Tribolium castaneum: one gene and its partners. The protein of the gene in region 3 binds, or shares a complex with, the protein of the main gene of each other region. Links are inferred from orthologs where the notes say so. Each region holds a gene or a part of one and is shown on either strand. Other genes may lie near its edges.

The links. Proteins that work in one complex are often made in the same cells at the same time.
Region 1: the proteins of sxc (region 3) and TGF-beta-activated kinase 1 and MAP3K7-binding protein 1 are in contact, whole or in part, in a crystal structure (PDB 4AY6), measured with the Homo sapiens proteins. The link is inferred for Tribolium castaneum from reciprocal best matches to the Homo sapiens genes OGT and TAB1. Residues at the interface, in NP_858058.1 of Homo sapiens: Asp441, His506, His508, His509, Asn567, His568, Pro569, Gly641, Tyr642, Thr643, Lys644, Ala646, Gln849, Phe878, Pro904, Val905, Ala906, Pro907; in NP_006107.1 of Homo sapiens: Pro389, Val390, Val392, Pro393, Tyr394, Ser396, Ala397, Gln398, Ser399.
Region 2: sxc (region 3) and dgt1 share a complex: the UniProt entries of both Homo sapiens proteins name them as parts of the NSL complex. The link is inferred for Tribolium castaneum from reciprocal best matches to the Homo sapiens genes OGT and KANSL2.

What each region holds. Positions count from the first base shown.
Region 1 is NC_087395.1:17,238,600-17,242,992, reverse strand, and holds the start of TGF-beta-activated kinase 1 and MAP3K7-binding protein 1, read left to right. Parts: upstream 1-1,165; coding exon 1,166-1,856; intron 1,857-4,393. UniProt on the Homo sapiens protein: Key adapter protein that plays an essential role in JNK and NF-kappa-B activation and proinflammatory cytokines production in response to stimulation with TLRs and cytokines.
Region 2 is NC_087396.1:19,996,703-20,001,417, forward strand, and holds dgt1 (KAT8 regulatory NSL complex subunit 2), read left to right. Parts: upstream 1-1,487; 5' UTR 1,488-1,593; coding exon 1,594-1,628; intron 1,629-1,927; coding exon 1,928-2,430; intron 2,431-2,483; coding exon 2,484-2,655; intron 2,656-2,702; coding exon 2,703-2,866; intron 2,867-2,923; coding exon 2,924-3,060; intron 3,061-3,109; coding exon 3,110-3,232; intron 3,233-3,281; coding exon 3,282-3,425; intron 3,426-4,267; coding exon 4,268-4,639; 3' UTR 4,640-4,704; downstream 4,705-4,715. Other genes in the region: CycT (cyclin-T), read right to left, coding at 1,067-1,215. UniProt on the Homo sapiens protein: Non-catalytic component of the NSL histone acetyltransferase complex, a multiprotein complex that mediates histone H4 acetylation at 'Lys-5'- and 'Lys-8' (H4K5ac and H4K8ac) at transcription start sites and promotes transcription initiation.
Region 3 is NC_087394.1:6,431,398-6,437,127, reverse strand, and holds the start of sxc (UDP-N-acetylglucosamine--peptide N-acetylglucosaminyltransferase 110 kDa subunit), read left to right. Parts: upstream 1-1,904; 5' UTR 1,905-2,050; coding exon 2,051-2,174; intron 2,175-2,227; coding exon 2,228-2,438; intron 2,439-5,730. UniProt on the Homo sapiens protein: Catalyzes the transfer of a single N-acetylglucosamine from UDP-GlcNAc to a serine or threonine residue in cytoplasmic and nuclear proteins resulting in their modification with a beta-linked N-acetylglucosamine (O-GlcNAc).

The DNA.
Region 1 (4,393 bases), on a different chromosome or scaffold from region 3:
TATGTTTCTGTTATTAACCGACAACAAACTTACGTAACAAGTATTAAAAAATTTAAACCAAAGAGACTTAAATAAATTCAATGTCTGACGCTATTATCTGTGTCAAATCGTGACTTTGGATTCAATACCAGTTCTAATACACGTGGAAAGCTATTCAATCGGTTTTTTATTGTTCCTTTTCTATTAGAAAAACACAACAATAGCTTCCAATCAATGAAAGAACGAGGAAAACAGATAAACGAACGTAATTTATTAACGTGTGATTAAAGATAAGGGTGTTTTGATGAAATATCGATTCGTGTTAGCAAAGTAACGGTGTTATTATTGTGAGAAAAACACAAGTGGAGGGCTTCGTTATGAACTGTGCCACATGCAAGGAGAATTAACCACAAAAAATGCCTGGCTTACAAAAACGTTCCGGAAAAAACCTCAATAAACAATATTATCTCTGGATCGGTTCATTGACTTTATTACTGTGTAAAATATAACATTACAACTATCCACCACGGATTGCGAACGAGTTTATTATTAACGTTCTAAATTTAATAGGTGGACAAGAATGTCTGGATTGTGCGGTTCCGGGACATCAAACCAGACCTTGAGAACGTAAGGGGCCAACCGAGGCCGCCACCAAAAACAATGCTAATGCTAATACGAATAATTTCGTCGTAATAAGGCCATAATTGGGGCTATTTTCCAATCAAATCGCGCCTTTTTCTGGAGGTGAAATCAAGCGAGCTTACCTGACTTGGACACGATTTATGGCATCGTAAACGAAGAGAATTTATTGGGTTTGCTAAAATTTAACGAAATTTAGTAAACATAACGGTATTTTTACTGCAATTTCTAGTGAAACGTCACAAATGTCACAATAACACAATCACAACAAAAAAAGTGGGTCGGGTTTGGGGAAAACAGGCTGGACACACGAAATTCAATGTCACTGGTGATATAATTTGCTGGAACTAGACCAAGTTATGGTAATCCCCTTATTAATATTACATCGTTAAAAGTGAAAAAATACAGTTACACTCTCGAATTGTATGTTTGGAGTAAATACGAAGTGTTATTTAATTTATGCCGTCCGGTCACGTGGTATCTACACCAGAAGTGTTGCCAACAGTGGTTATTGCCATTTTTTAGGTTATGTATTTGTCAAAAATATATGAAGCCTCTAAAGCCAACCGAGACAATTTACAAGAGCCAAGGGACATGGACCGACGCATTGACAGTGTGCAAAAACGCCGGAATTGGATATTCCACCAACCAGATCTACCGCGAGGACGGCAACCCCCAGGAGGACCACCCGTATGAAGACTGCAGCTGCCACTACGAGTTCAACAACGGCACCTGCTGGTACGCGGTCTTCGACGGGCACGAGGGCCAGAAAGCCCCGCATTTCTCGTCGCAGCTGACCGCCGAAATCTACTTCTCTCAACTGACCGAGAAGAAGACTGACGATGAAGTGAGGGAGATCCTGAGACAGGCGTTCATTTCGGTCGAAACGGGGTATATGCAGTCGATTGGCGACCTGCTGGCTGACAGATTAAGGCTGCAGGATGACTTACCCGAAGGCTCGAACTCGTACGAGGCCTATCAGAAGGCGCCCCATGTCGTTGAGAGTATTAAACGGATCAATTGTGAGCTGTCGTCAGGGGCCGCCGCTGCCGTCGCTTTGATTCACAACAATAAGTTATATGTGGCTAATGTCGGAAATTGTCGCGTATTGTTATGCAAAACTGATGCAAATTCGGTGTTGAAAGTCGTCCAGTTGAGTGTCGACCACGATTTGAAGAACGAGGACGAGTTGCTGAGGCTGGCGCAGATTGGGATCAATCGGGAGTATTTGAGGAATTGTAAGTTGGAATTCTAGCCATAAAGCAATAAAATAGTTATTACACCACAAGTTTAAAAAAGCGTTAAATAGGGTTCTTATTTTTCTAAAATAAATTTTTCGTCGCGACTACGGAGGACTGTAGATTAGGAGACGAAATGAGATACAAAGTAGGATTTTCTCTAGTCCGGCGAAGTAAAAATGAGGGCGCTTCGAGCGTTAAACCGTCTCGGTGCAAATCGTTTTAAATTAATTTAAATTCAATCAATTCACTCATTGGAAAGAAAAAATGCAGAAATGTTGAGCTTTGCATTCTTAATAGGCAGAAAAAATGACTAAAATTTTCACGGGAACCAAGAGACAAAAATTTATGTTAATAATACTAACAGAGTATTTTACACACCTTAAAATATTTTATTCTTCGACACTGTCAAAATTTACGGTTTTTCTCCTGTGTAAGGAAGTTTTGACAACTGTTTGGCATTTCTCAGTACGAAACGTCAGATTATTTTTAACAAATTTAAAGCAGTTTTAAGCCTTGCTGAGTCTATTTCGAAGAATAAAATGTTGTATTCAACTCGTTTTTGTGTAAATCGGTTCATTTATTTCGCCTCGTGGATGATAAACCACTCGTTTTCACTCGTGGTTTAAAAATCCACTCGTGAGATAAAGCGTCCGATTTACACTCAAACTCATTAAATAAATAACTATACTTAGATTTCGGTTGGTATTACATAGACAAAATATTACTAAAATCATTCTGAATATAATCCTCAAACGGATAAAAGTTTTGGAAAACTGAAATAGTGCTTAAGGTTTTTGTGGAGGAAAATTTCTTTTTAGAAAGACATAAAATTTAATTGTATAATAGTTAGTTTCATGTCGGGCTTTTGTTTGCCTTAGATTATTTAAGGAAAAATAATTTCCTCTTGTACAATAATTTATTATGATTAGAACCTAGAAGAGAATATTCACTGCTGTGCTTGGAAAAATATTTCGAGACCTTTAAGGATACACTAAACTGTCTTTATTGCCTATTTTGTTTCACAGTTCTTCTTGAAATTATTTGATATTATACATTACGTATATTTACACTTCTGTTTCCCTTCCCAATTTTTTTTCTTGCACCCGTCACTTCTTTCATACATTTTTTCCTCTTGACTCCACACACTCTGACAAACAATGTTTATTTAAAAATATATAAACTAGAAAGTGTGAGAATTGGTAATATTTTTTTATATAGCTTTCAATAAAATGTTTGCCCTGACTTTGAGTGGTATGATTAAAAAAGTATTTGATTTTACTTCAAGTAAATAATTCACGTCGTAGTTTTACTTCAAATAAATATTACCTAACGTAGCATTTACTTCACAGTATACTTGAAGTAAGTAGTATAAGTAAATACTTCAGACTCCTTTATGTACTTTGGTATATAGAGGACAATACTATGGAAACTAGGTAAACAATAGAATATCGTACTTTAATAATTTCTGTTAAGTTACGAGTAAGCTCCATGATCTTCTTTTTAGAATTAGTTCTTTTAAAACACTTAATTATTTCTTTACTTTCAAAATAAAAGTTTTAACTACTATTACGTATTATTATGAAATATTTAATACTTATTCCAGTATTAGTACTTTAACAAACTCTGTAAAATAAGATACTTATTAACTTATGTATTCTTCTATTCTACAAAGTTTTAGAAATAAACCTTTATCCATTTGCTTGTAAATGGAATTTTCCAAAATTGTCGTTACTTAATAGAACAAAATTAATAGAACATTTGAATCAAATTAAAGTTAATTAATTAACAAAATCTCTATGACGGAAATCTTGTCATAAGGTTATTTAATAACGTATTCATCAGTTGCCACATTATTGGCAAGTTGGAGTCATTTTTCTTAAATATAGTTACAACAATGGGACTAACTAGAGTTAGAAGTAGGACAGCATTTTGAAGACATTAATTTGTTTTGGTTGTGAAAATTTAGGAAGATAAAAAAAATAATATTACTAATCAAATTACTGACCCATTTCCATTTTCTAAACTACCATATCGCCTACAAGGAGGCAATGTATGTAAATTTTGGAACCTAATGAATTACTTCAATTTAAACCACAACAAAAAAGCTCTTTTGTCGCAAAATACTCGCGATCTAGCTGTCTCTCTATTCGTAATTTATACCTTTTTTTATGTAATTTTTCTCCTTTTTGTTATCTGTTTAACTTGATATGTTTATACTTATATTTATAATTTTTAATTATACTATAATATCCTATTAGTATCCATTTTTGACGTGTTTAATTTCTGTGTATTCAGATAAGAGAACGAATAAATTATTAAATTATTATTATAATATAAACTAAAATTATTTTGAAAATATTTCGGTGTCAGGCATTTTTCCTGGAATAGCTGTCTTACTATTGAGAATTTAGTGCTCTATCTGTCTGTATTTTTTCTGTTAGCCTTGTGCTAACCGTTAAATAAAAAACCCAGACATCTTTCACAGTCAACGTTACTTCAGAAGTAATAGAATTACTTTTAATTTTAGTATGCAA
Region 2 (4,715 bases), on a different chromosome or scaffold from region 3:
CCCCAAAAATTATTTTTCTTTATAAATTTTCACGACCTTAGGCTCGTTTTTAAATATGTCCGAGCACGTAGCTAATTCTTAAAATAACCGCGGCTATTATTACGTACACCATTAAGTTTAGTGCATCATAAAAATTCGAAGTAAATAAATATTTACTTTATAATCATGTAGTGCTTATCAATAGCACAAATGTAATTTAAATTTGTAGCCACATTACTCGTCGACCCAGTTCGTTTCAGTAGACATTCAGGCAATGTCAGCAGTGGTCGGTTTTATTTTGATTAATCATAGTGTAAGGTTTATGTGGTAATATGAAAGAATTTGTGCGATTGTGTAATAAAAAACACTGATGTTGATTTTATTTTAAGTTAAATTTCTGACTTAGAAATAGAAAAAAACGTTCAAACGTCCACTGACATGAAATGCTCTAAAATTTTTAAAAAGTAAATAAAAATCAATTTATTATTAAAAATCCATAAGAGCATAAGATAGTGCGTTTGTATGAACATAATAAAAAAAACTTAACACAACCATACTCAAAACAAGTTGAAACAAAAAGGAAAAGTTTCAAGATCAAATCAATTGAAAATAAAGTTGCAAGAAATATAAACATCTTTTAATAAGAAATTGATTTTATTTTTTACTCTTGTGAAAGATTACAATTATTTTACATCATACAAATCGCAAATGAAATTGTTGCATAAGAATGACAAAACTACTACAAAAATTGAAAAATTGCTTCAAAGAGAAAATAAAAAAATGAATAAAACCGCTGACCTACAACAAACGTAGAGAAGAGTTAAATAATAAATTTTCTGGAAAAGAATACGTTGAAATAATCCTGAAAAGCATAAAAATAACGGTGCGTTTAACACACGTGTCGTGTGAACGCCGCTTTATCGCATTTGCATGAAACGTCAAATATGCGCAGTAGAGGGGGCTATCTACGTCACTTACGAAACATGGCGCAATAGCTCCACAATGACCTAAAACAAGGGTCGTGGGGCGCCAGGGGGCTGAAATTCGCGCTATCTACGTGTTAAATGCAAGCATGCGGCAAGGATACACTTTGAGCCTCTGTCCCATGTCCTGGATGAAATTGGCAGTCTGCTGCCTGTAGGACAGCTCCTTGTAGCTATCATATCCGCATTTCCTCGAGGGCGTAGCGTCCAATTGCTCTTTCGTGAAGTACCATCTATCGCTGTTATTAGCCATTTACTGCACTCGACACGACTCGCGATAACAGCAAGGCAAGTGTCGCTACGGCTCGAAATCAGGCTATTCCAGGTCATTTGCTGGTCTTATTGGGGCAAATGGGGGCGCATTGTCGCGAAATTTAGTCACATTAACTACACTTTTGTCCAGAAAATCGGCTTCAAGGGTTTCCGTTGCGTCACTACGATGTGGGTTTTCCTAGAAGTGGCACTGGTGCAAATCGGGTCGGCTTTTCACGGGCAAATCTCCGGTTGCAAGTCTCGAATTGATCACGAATTATTACTTAAAGTTTACTAAACGCTTTTGGAAAGTTTTTCGCGCGAAAGAGGTAGTTCTTTAACAAATTAAAATATACATACACAAAGTTGTTGGAATTTGATGTTATTTCACTCAGAGATGGCCGACCAACCGCGGTAAGCAAGCCCACGACTTCCACAAAACAAACACCAAAACCACCCACACACTCGAAAACCGCAACACTCCCGAAAAAACGCAAATTATCCCTAAACTAATCCCTGAAATTATCACAGAAATCCACTAAGGCCCTTAGATCCACAAACGCACAACAAGCATGGCTTTGAGTAAAGATGTCGGCTGTCGATTTCCGCTCGGCTGCTCATTGGCTGCCACCGTTCGAAATATACCGCCAAACAAACATAACCTTGTCAATAACAAAGCCAGACGCGCAAAACTAAACTTTCACTATTTTCAGGATGCAGTTTCCGGAAAAACAACTCAAAACCAACCATGCCCCTTCAACGACTGCAGAAAAAGACGTCGCCGCCCTCAAAGCCGAGCTAGAAATCGAGCTCAAGAACAAAAAGCAATGCACATACAAACCGTACGAATGCACCCAACTCACCCTCGACGGGTTCAATTACTGCCTCAAACACATCCTCCAAGACAAGGCAGCCCCCTACAGACAGTGCTCGTACATTTACGCCAGTAACGGGAAACGCTGCCAGCTGGCAGCCCCCAAAATCGAAAAGAAAGACTGCGGCTACTGTAACGATCACGCAGTTAAAGTCACACTTGAGAAAAACAGGCAGAACTCGAGGCTTCAGCCGCCACAAACCGCAGAAGTCCTGATATATTCGTTGGGACATTACTTGAAGAAGCCCAGAAATCGGGCAACTTCTGGTAGTGGAGAGGAGGCAGAGAGGGCCCTTCTGGAGGAGGCTGAAGCCAAGAGCACCAAGTGCTTGGACCCGTTCCGTAAGCCACCCTTTTTTTCAAATTAATTTTCCAAATACAAATTAATGTGTTAGGTGATATTGACGCCAATGCCTTGTATAACTCCACTTGTAACAACGTTTTGGACTTCTGTAGTGAGTCTGATAGCGATGTTGAGGCTTCAACGTTCGCGTCAGTGTGGCATGATGCACAGAATGACAGTTCCGATAACGAAAGTGTTGATTCAGACCAGGAGGACGTTTTAAAGTGAGGTGGCAATTTTTTATTTTTGAGACTAATTTTTGTATTTGAAGGCACGCGAATGTGTACACAGCTGAAGAAATCAGTTCAATTACGAGAGAAAAGTTAATCAAGCTTCAGTCGTTATACATTGAGCAATATCGTCATTTGCAGCATGTCTTTAAGGAATGCAAAAGAAAATATGTTTATAATTTAAGGAGGGAAAAGGAAACTTGCTGTGAGATTACATCACAATAATTACGTCCAGTTCATTTGAATTCGTTTCGTTTTTTAGGCAATATTTATAACCAGATCCGTGAAAATCCCAAAGAACAGCGGCTTTACAAAAAACTCAAAGCGCTAAATAAGTACCACAAACCGCACGGAGTTGAAGCGATACTTCATAAAAGAGAGCATGATTCACGCGCTAAGGTTCATATTCGAATTATTTACATTTTTTTTTTATTAAAAATAAAATTAGATTACAGATGGCATGTTCTCCAAAGCGCCAGGTTACTCGCGGTGTTTGTTTACAGAAGGTGGGGTCAAGTGTGGGGAGAGAACTCTGCCTCTGGCTAGACATTGCAGGAAACATATTTTAGAAGTAATTTATTTTATTACTGTAATGTTTCATTTAAGTGTTGAAATTGTAGGATCAAAATCAAGTATTATTCAGGCCGTGCGGTAAGAAGAGAGCGGATGTAGAATGTAAAACACCAGTTGAGGCGATTTTTGAGGACAGTTGCTGCAACTTGCATATGGACATACCTCCAATTAAATCATATGCGCAATTAAGGGTACGGTGTTATTAAAAACAAAAAAATACGTAACTATTTTGCCACTATTTATGACTAATTGTTTCTAAACAGCTTAAAAGGAGCTAAAATTATTTATTTTTTATCACCACCACTGAAAATGTAATTTTAGTTAAAAATTACAAAATTGATAAATATTTTCTATTGAAAAAAATGCTTCATAGCAGAATTCGTCCCATGTTTGCTATTTCTGAAGATTAAATGTTTCTTAATCACGTGGTTAATTTTATGAAGGAAAAAACCGGTGTTTGGTTTCTTATTCTTTTAAGTTATGAACTATTTAGTAAATTTGTTTGATTAATAAAGATTTATTTTTTAATAATAGATGGCTGGCATATCATTAAAATAGTATTAGGTATTCGTTAAAATTATACAGGCGGTGCTAATGTGAAATACATAATAACTAATAAGAAATAAAAATACTTCTCTTACTTAAACTTTCAATGGAGTGTTATTAATTTGATGCATAACACATTTATGACGAAATACTTATTTTTATGAAAATTGAATAAATGAAAAAAGGAGAATTAAAAAATAAAACAAGCAACACTGATTAAACTTGATGGGAAAAAAACAAAGAACATAACAAAATGGTAACAAAGGCATGTTTATGACAAAAAAATATAAAATATACTGAATTAATGACACAAGTTATTTCAGAAATATTTAAAACAGAATCAGAAAAAAATTAAAAAATCTTTGAAAGAATTTAGGACTTGAAATTCATTAAAATAGTGGGTACTTTATGCCAAAAAAACTGGCTAGAAACCAAAAATAGCCAATTTCGGCAGATTATAATTTTTAATATTTTTTTTTTTATTTAGAAAAATTCTGAATCCGACTTTGAGGATTCCTTTGAATCTCCCGAAAACATGTTGATGGAAGCGGTGTCAGAGTCCGACAACGTGAAGACAGAATTTATAGACTACGGCCCCAACTTGGAAGAAATGAAGACCTTGCCGTCTGTTTTATTTGAAGAGTCCAGCATGGACGCTAGTATTAAAAACGAAGACACGGAGAACGAAAAACCGGATGAAGATGTACAAATCGACGTAGACGACGAACCTAGTCCCGAAGGAAAACTAGAAATTGATATACCTGAAGAAGATACCAATGATATTAGAATCGAAGATAAGATGGAAGAAGACAGTTCGCAGGATAAACCCGCCCCGGAGCCCCCAGTTACTGATAATTAGTTTTAAGTTCCAAGTATTATTTTTTGTTACACGTTTTGTATTCGCAATAAAGCCATTTGAATTAATTTTGTGTACG
Region 3 (5,730 bases):
AATAAACAAAATAAAACTGCGTTTTTATCCAAACAACGAGCTTAAACCCTAATTTTTTTGGTTAATTTTTACCGGAATTTTTTTAAACTGTTCCGTTTCTCGCAAAAGACGCTGGAAAATAAACAAAAACACCGCATTTTTTGGCTCAATTTAAAAGTGATGTTCTTAAGCTTATTTTTTGAAAAATTTCGTAAAATACCTAAATTTTTTGATTATAAATGTGCTAAAATAACACAAAAACTGGAAAATAATGTAATCTTCAAAAGCTTGGATCCTCAAAAAATTATTTTTTGAATCAATTTCTTCATTTTTTGGAAGATTTTTGACAAAATTAGGGTTAACTAAAACTAAGTTTAAAAACTTGACAAACCAAACTTAAACTTTGGTTTGGTTAATTTTCACGCCAAGAATATCCAACAAGAAGTAACATTAGAGTGTTCGTCAAAAAAAAATCCTTAAAAAAAGTAAAAAAAAACACGCAGTTGTGGCTTAGTTTGGCAATCTTTTAGATTGTTTTATCTAAAGTTGTGTGAAATAATTACGTTTCTAGATAAAAAAAACGTAATAATATAACGCAAAGAACAAAAAAATAATTTCAACTTTGACCTAAATTACTCAATTTTGTGACAAAATTTCGATATCATGTCGCAAAAATGGTTTTTTAAAGTAATTAGGGAGTTTTTGGCTTGAAAAGAAAAAAAATAACGTAATTTTTCAGTCATTATCATTATTTATTAATGTTCAGCAATTTTGATTGTCTAATATACTACAGAGTAATTCAAAAAAGTCGGAAATACTTTCAAAGAAATTTAGATTAAAAACAAACTGAATTAAAAAAAATTCTATGACAAAAAATTGTTAGAGCCCTTTTTCACGAGATATAGCTCTTCTAAGTTAAATTTTTAAGTTAAGTTTTTGCTGCTTTAGATCGTATGTTTTTAGCTTTAGTTAGCAGAAACGACAGCTCTTGGAACATTAAACAAATACATATTGAAAAAATCAACAATTAATGTTTCATGATGTACAAAAGAAATAAAAAACTTGCAAATTTGACAATAAATTAAATTCGACGTCATAGGAAACAAAAGAACAAAAAATATATCAAAATTGTTTGAAAAAAAAATCTGACTTAATTTTTGTCTTTTAACACCATATGAGAGATGGTCTGTCACTTTTGAATTACCCTGTATTTTTAAGTACTAATATGTATAACGCAAAAACAGTAAAAAAATGTTGTCTTTACCACAACGTGGTGATTTTCTAAAAAAAAAAACACAAAAAAATTAAACAGTCATTAATGGCTTTTTGAATTGTTAACAATTGCTAACAATTACGGCAAAAAATACACAATTCCGCAATCTCTTAATCTAATTATTAAAAAAATTGTTATTATTATTTTCGGTTTGTTAGATTTTGTATTTGGGTAACCCTGTGCTTTCCCTTGCCTGAATTTTGCTAGTAATTAAATTTTCCCACATTGGAGTTTGATTTTATTGACAAATATTTGAAGTAATATTTAATGTGTCACTTATTGTCGCAATTTGAAATTCGCATTTGCAAAATCAAAATTTGCGCCATTTAGTGATTTCCCCGCATTCGGGCGTTTTCGTGCCATTCAAGGCCTACCGATCGCACCTCATCGGGCGTGAAATTGATAAGACGCCTTGTGGTTTTTTTGTGCTCCGAAGCTCGTCACAGCCCGGGAATAGTGCAAATGGTCCCATCTGGTAAATCCCATTGAATCGCAAAAAATCGTCGTGGGCCCCTTCGCACCCATTGACGACCAAATCCAGGTAAATAACGGACCATGGAATGGAAATTTCCACTCGCTTCCACCAATCACACGCCAGCTCCAGCAGCTCAAAGACCAATCAGGTCGCAGCTGCGCTTTGACCACAGTTCTTCAGTTGTCTCTCTTCAGTGGCGGCCATTTGAGGCCATCAGAGAATCGATTGTTGTAATTTAGAGCGTTTTTTGGTGAAAAACTGTGGTGAAAGTGTGCAGAAATAGGTCAGATAGGGTTTATGTTGGTGTAACGGCGTGCTTTACCATGCAGGACCAGATTGTGGTCGATGGTCAGAACCATCTCAGTTCTGGAACAAACAGCGGGTTGCCCATCACCGGTAGTCCCATTGTCTTAAAGATGAATGATGTTCCGCAGCTTTCGTCCGTTGGTGAGTCTTTGTGATGGTGAAATTGGCAATTGTTTACGTATTTTGTGTGTTAGGGCTTCTTGAACTTGCCCATCGTGAGTACCAAGCTGGGGATTATGAAAATGCAGAGAGGCACTGTATGCAGTTGTGGAGACAGGATCAGACCAATACGGGGGTTTTACTGCTTTTGTCAAGCATACATTTCCAGTGCAGGCGTTTAGACAAATCCGCACATTTCAGCACTTTGGCAATCAAACAAAATCCACTCCTCGCCGAAGCTTACAGGTATTTTTCATTGTTTTGGCTTATTCCATGAGTGTTCTACAGTTTTTTCTAAATCTAAAAACCTATAAGAGGTTTCTGAATGATTTGTTCACTGTAGAAAGTTAGCGAAGTTGGTGTCCTCTAGCGGACTTTTCGCAACTACAGAAATACAGGGGTGGCTTTAAAAATTGTGTAAAAATTTGAAGAGGTGATAGTGGGGGGGAGAAAAATGTGAAAATAACTAAAATTTGCATTCTCTAAGATCCCTGATATCGTCTAAGTTTGGAAAAATGCTGAAACAGGTCAATTTTGTATTAAAGGGGGACCAAGTTTTATTTTTTAGAGTTCTTTCTTTAAAGTTATTTGCACCCCTCTAGTGCTCAGAGCCACCCCTTCAAGAAATTTCAATTGCCACAGGGGTCGAGTGACGCAGCTGCTTTCATACTCTATTCAACTATGTTTTTTTTTCAATTTTGATCGATTTATTTTTTTGAGAATTACGGGAATTGTTTTAGGATTATAGAAATCTCGTTTAACGACTGTTTAAAATTTTGAACGTTTTTTGGTTTGGATTATGAAAGAAATGGTACGTTATCTGTGCTAGTGTGTTTACTTTTTAAAATAAACAAAACAACTGCCATTTAAGTTTTAGTTGAATAAACGCTTAGAAAATGTAAATTTTTGGTCATTTTCGATCAAATTTTGATTTTTTTTGGGTTTTTATCCTAGAACTTGCAAAAAATGTCTTCTTTGACTTTGTCTTCTTTTTCGTTTTAGTTTAATAAAAATAAAAAAGAAATCCTAATGTTTGATCTAAAAACGTGTTTAAATCCTCGAAACTTGTAATTTTTGACATAATTGTGTGATTTATTGACTTACTTTTTAAGAAATTTTGCACATAATTGAGTTTTTGCTATATAAACGCTTAGAAAATAAATGTATATTTTTGGTCAATTTTGACCAAAGTTGGTGATTTTTTCATTTTAGTTTAATAAAAATAGAAAGGAAGACCTAATGTTTGGTTTAAAAACGTGTTTAAATCCTCGAAACTTGTATTTTTTGCCATAATTGTGTGATTTATTGACTTACTTTTTAATTTTTAATAAATTTTGCACAATAATTGAATTTTTGCTGAATAAAGGCTTAGAAAAAGTAAATTTTTGGTAAATTTTGACCAAAGTTGGTGATTTCCTCGTTTTAGTTTAATAAAAATAGAAAGGAAAACTTAATGTTTGGTCTAAAACTTGTTTAAATCCTCTAAACTTGCAAGAATAATGTAATTTTTGACATAATTCTGTGATTTATTTATTGGCTTTTTAAGAAATTTTTGCACAATAATTGAGTTTTTTGCAAAATAAACGCTTAGAAAAGGTAAATTTTTGGTCAGTTTCGACCAAAGTTGATGATTTTTTCGTTTTACTTTAATAAAAATAGAAAGGAAAACCTAATGTTTGGTCCAAAACGTGTTTAAATCCTCGAAACTTGTAAAAATAATGTAATTTTTGACATAATTCTGTGATTTATTGGCTTACTTTTTAAGAAATTTTGCACAATAATTGAATTTTTGCTGAATAAAGGCTTAGAAAAAGTAAATTTTTGGTCAATTTTAACCAAATTGGTGATTTCCTCGTTTTAGTTTAATAAAAATAGAAAGGAAAACCTAATGTTTGGTCTAAAACGTGTTTAACTCTTCGAAACTTGCAAAATTAATGTACTTTTTGACATAATTCTGTGATTTATTGGCTTACTTTTTAAGAAATTTTGCACAATAATTGAGTTTTTGCTAAATAGACGCTTAGAAAAGGTAAATTTTTGGTCATTTTCGATCAAAGTTGGTGATTTTTTCGTTTTAGTTTAATAAAAATAGAAAGGAAAATCTAATGTTTGGTCCAAAACGTGTTTAAATTCTCGAAACTTGCAAAAATAATGTAATTTGTGACATAATTCTGTGATTTACTGGCTTACTTTATCAGAAATTTTGCACATAATTGAACAAAGGCTTGGGAAAAAAATTTTTTTGTCAATTTTGACCAAAGTTGGTGATTTTTTTGTTTTAGTTTAATAAAAATAGAAAGAAAAACCTAATGTTTAGTCTAAAACGAGTGTAAATCCTCGAAACTTGCAAAAATAATGTAATTTTTGACATAATTCTCTGATTTATTGGCTTACTTTTTAAGAAATTTTGCACAATAATTGAGTTTTTGCTAAATAAACGCGTAGAAAAAGTAATTTTTTGGTCAATTTTGACCAAATATGGTGTTTTTTCGTTTTAGTTTAATAAAAATAGAAAGGAAAACCTAATGTTTCAATTTTTATTTTTATTTAGTTTCTCAATTTTTCATTTTCAGGCGGTATGAACTACTTTTGTACCTGATTTTGACAATGATAATTAAAAAAAATCGGATAATGCATATGGTTATACTGTAGCTCAAAAACTAGTAATCACACAGAAATCAGGCAATCAGGGCTTGATATTAAAACACTTCATACTTTTCTCGGTTCATGTGAATTTTTTTGGAATTTCTGTACAATTTTCTATCATTAAAATCCATTATGTTACTTATTGTTTCTTAAAATACTTAAAATAACTGGCGCTATTCTGAAAAAACAATTAAAATAAGTACTGAAGATTTCATCTAACTTTTCTTAAAAATAAATGTTTTATTATGAAAATAAAGACCTAATCTATTTTTCTGAATTTTAAATTTTAATATCGAAAATCGTTAAAGTCTGATACATAATTCAAAACTGACAAACATGTGTCACATTTTGCATTTTGTCGTTTCTCTGATTTTGTGTAACATGAACTAATACTTTTTGTGATTATCTTTTTCTTTTAATTAATGATGGGTTTTCATCGTTCAAAATTTGTTACTTGTAATTACACAGATTTTTTAAAAAATTTTTAAAAAGTCTTTTTTGTGATCTATTCCTTTTTATAAATGTACAAATGCCATTTTGACGTTGTTTAAAGGTTTGAAACGGCTGTTCTCTTAGCTCTTCTAATCAGTTTTTTCAAATAGTAAAGAGAAACCAAGAAAAGCAGTAAATACAGAAAGCTACGGATCAAAAATCTGTACAAGTTTTCTCTAATCTTGTCATAGATAAAAGTCGCAGTAAATAATATTTCAAGTAGTAAACATTTTAATATCATATCGTGTTAAACTTCTTGCTAAGTTTCTTATAAATTTTTTGTTTTAAAATTTGAGGAAACAACCTGTATTTACGTAATAAATAGATCATAAAAAATTAAATAATTCAAAGTTTTAAAGCGAGTCAAAACTTCTAAGTAAGTATATCAAGTTAGTTGATG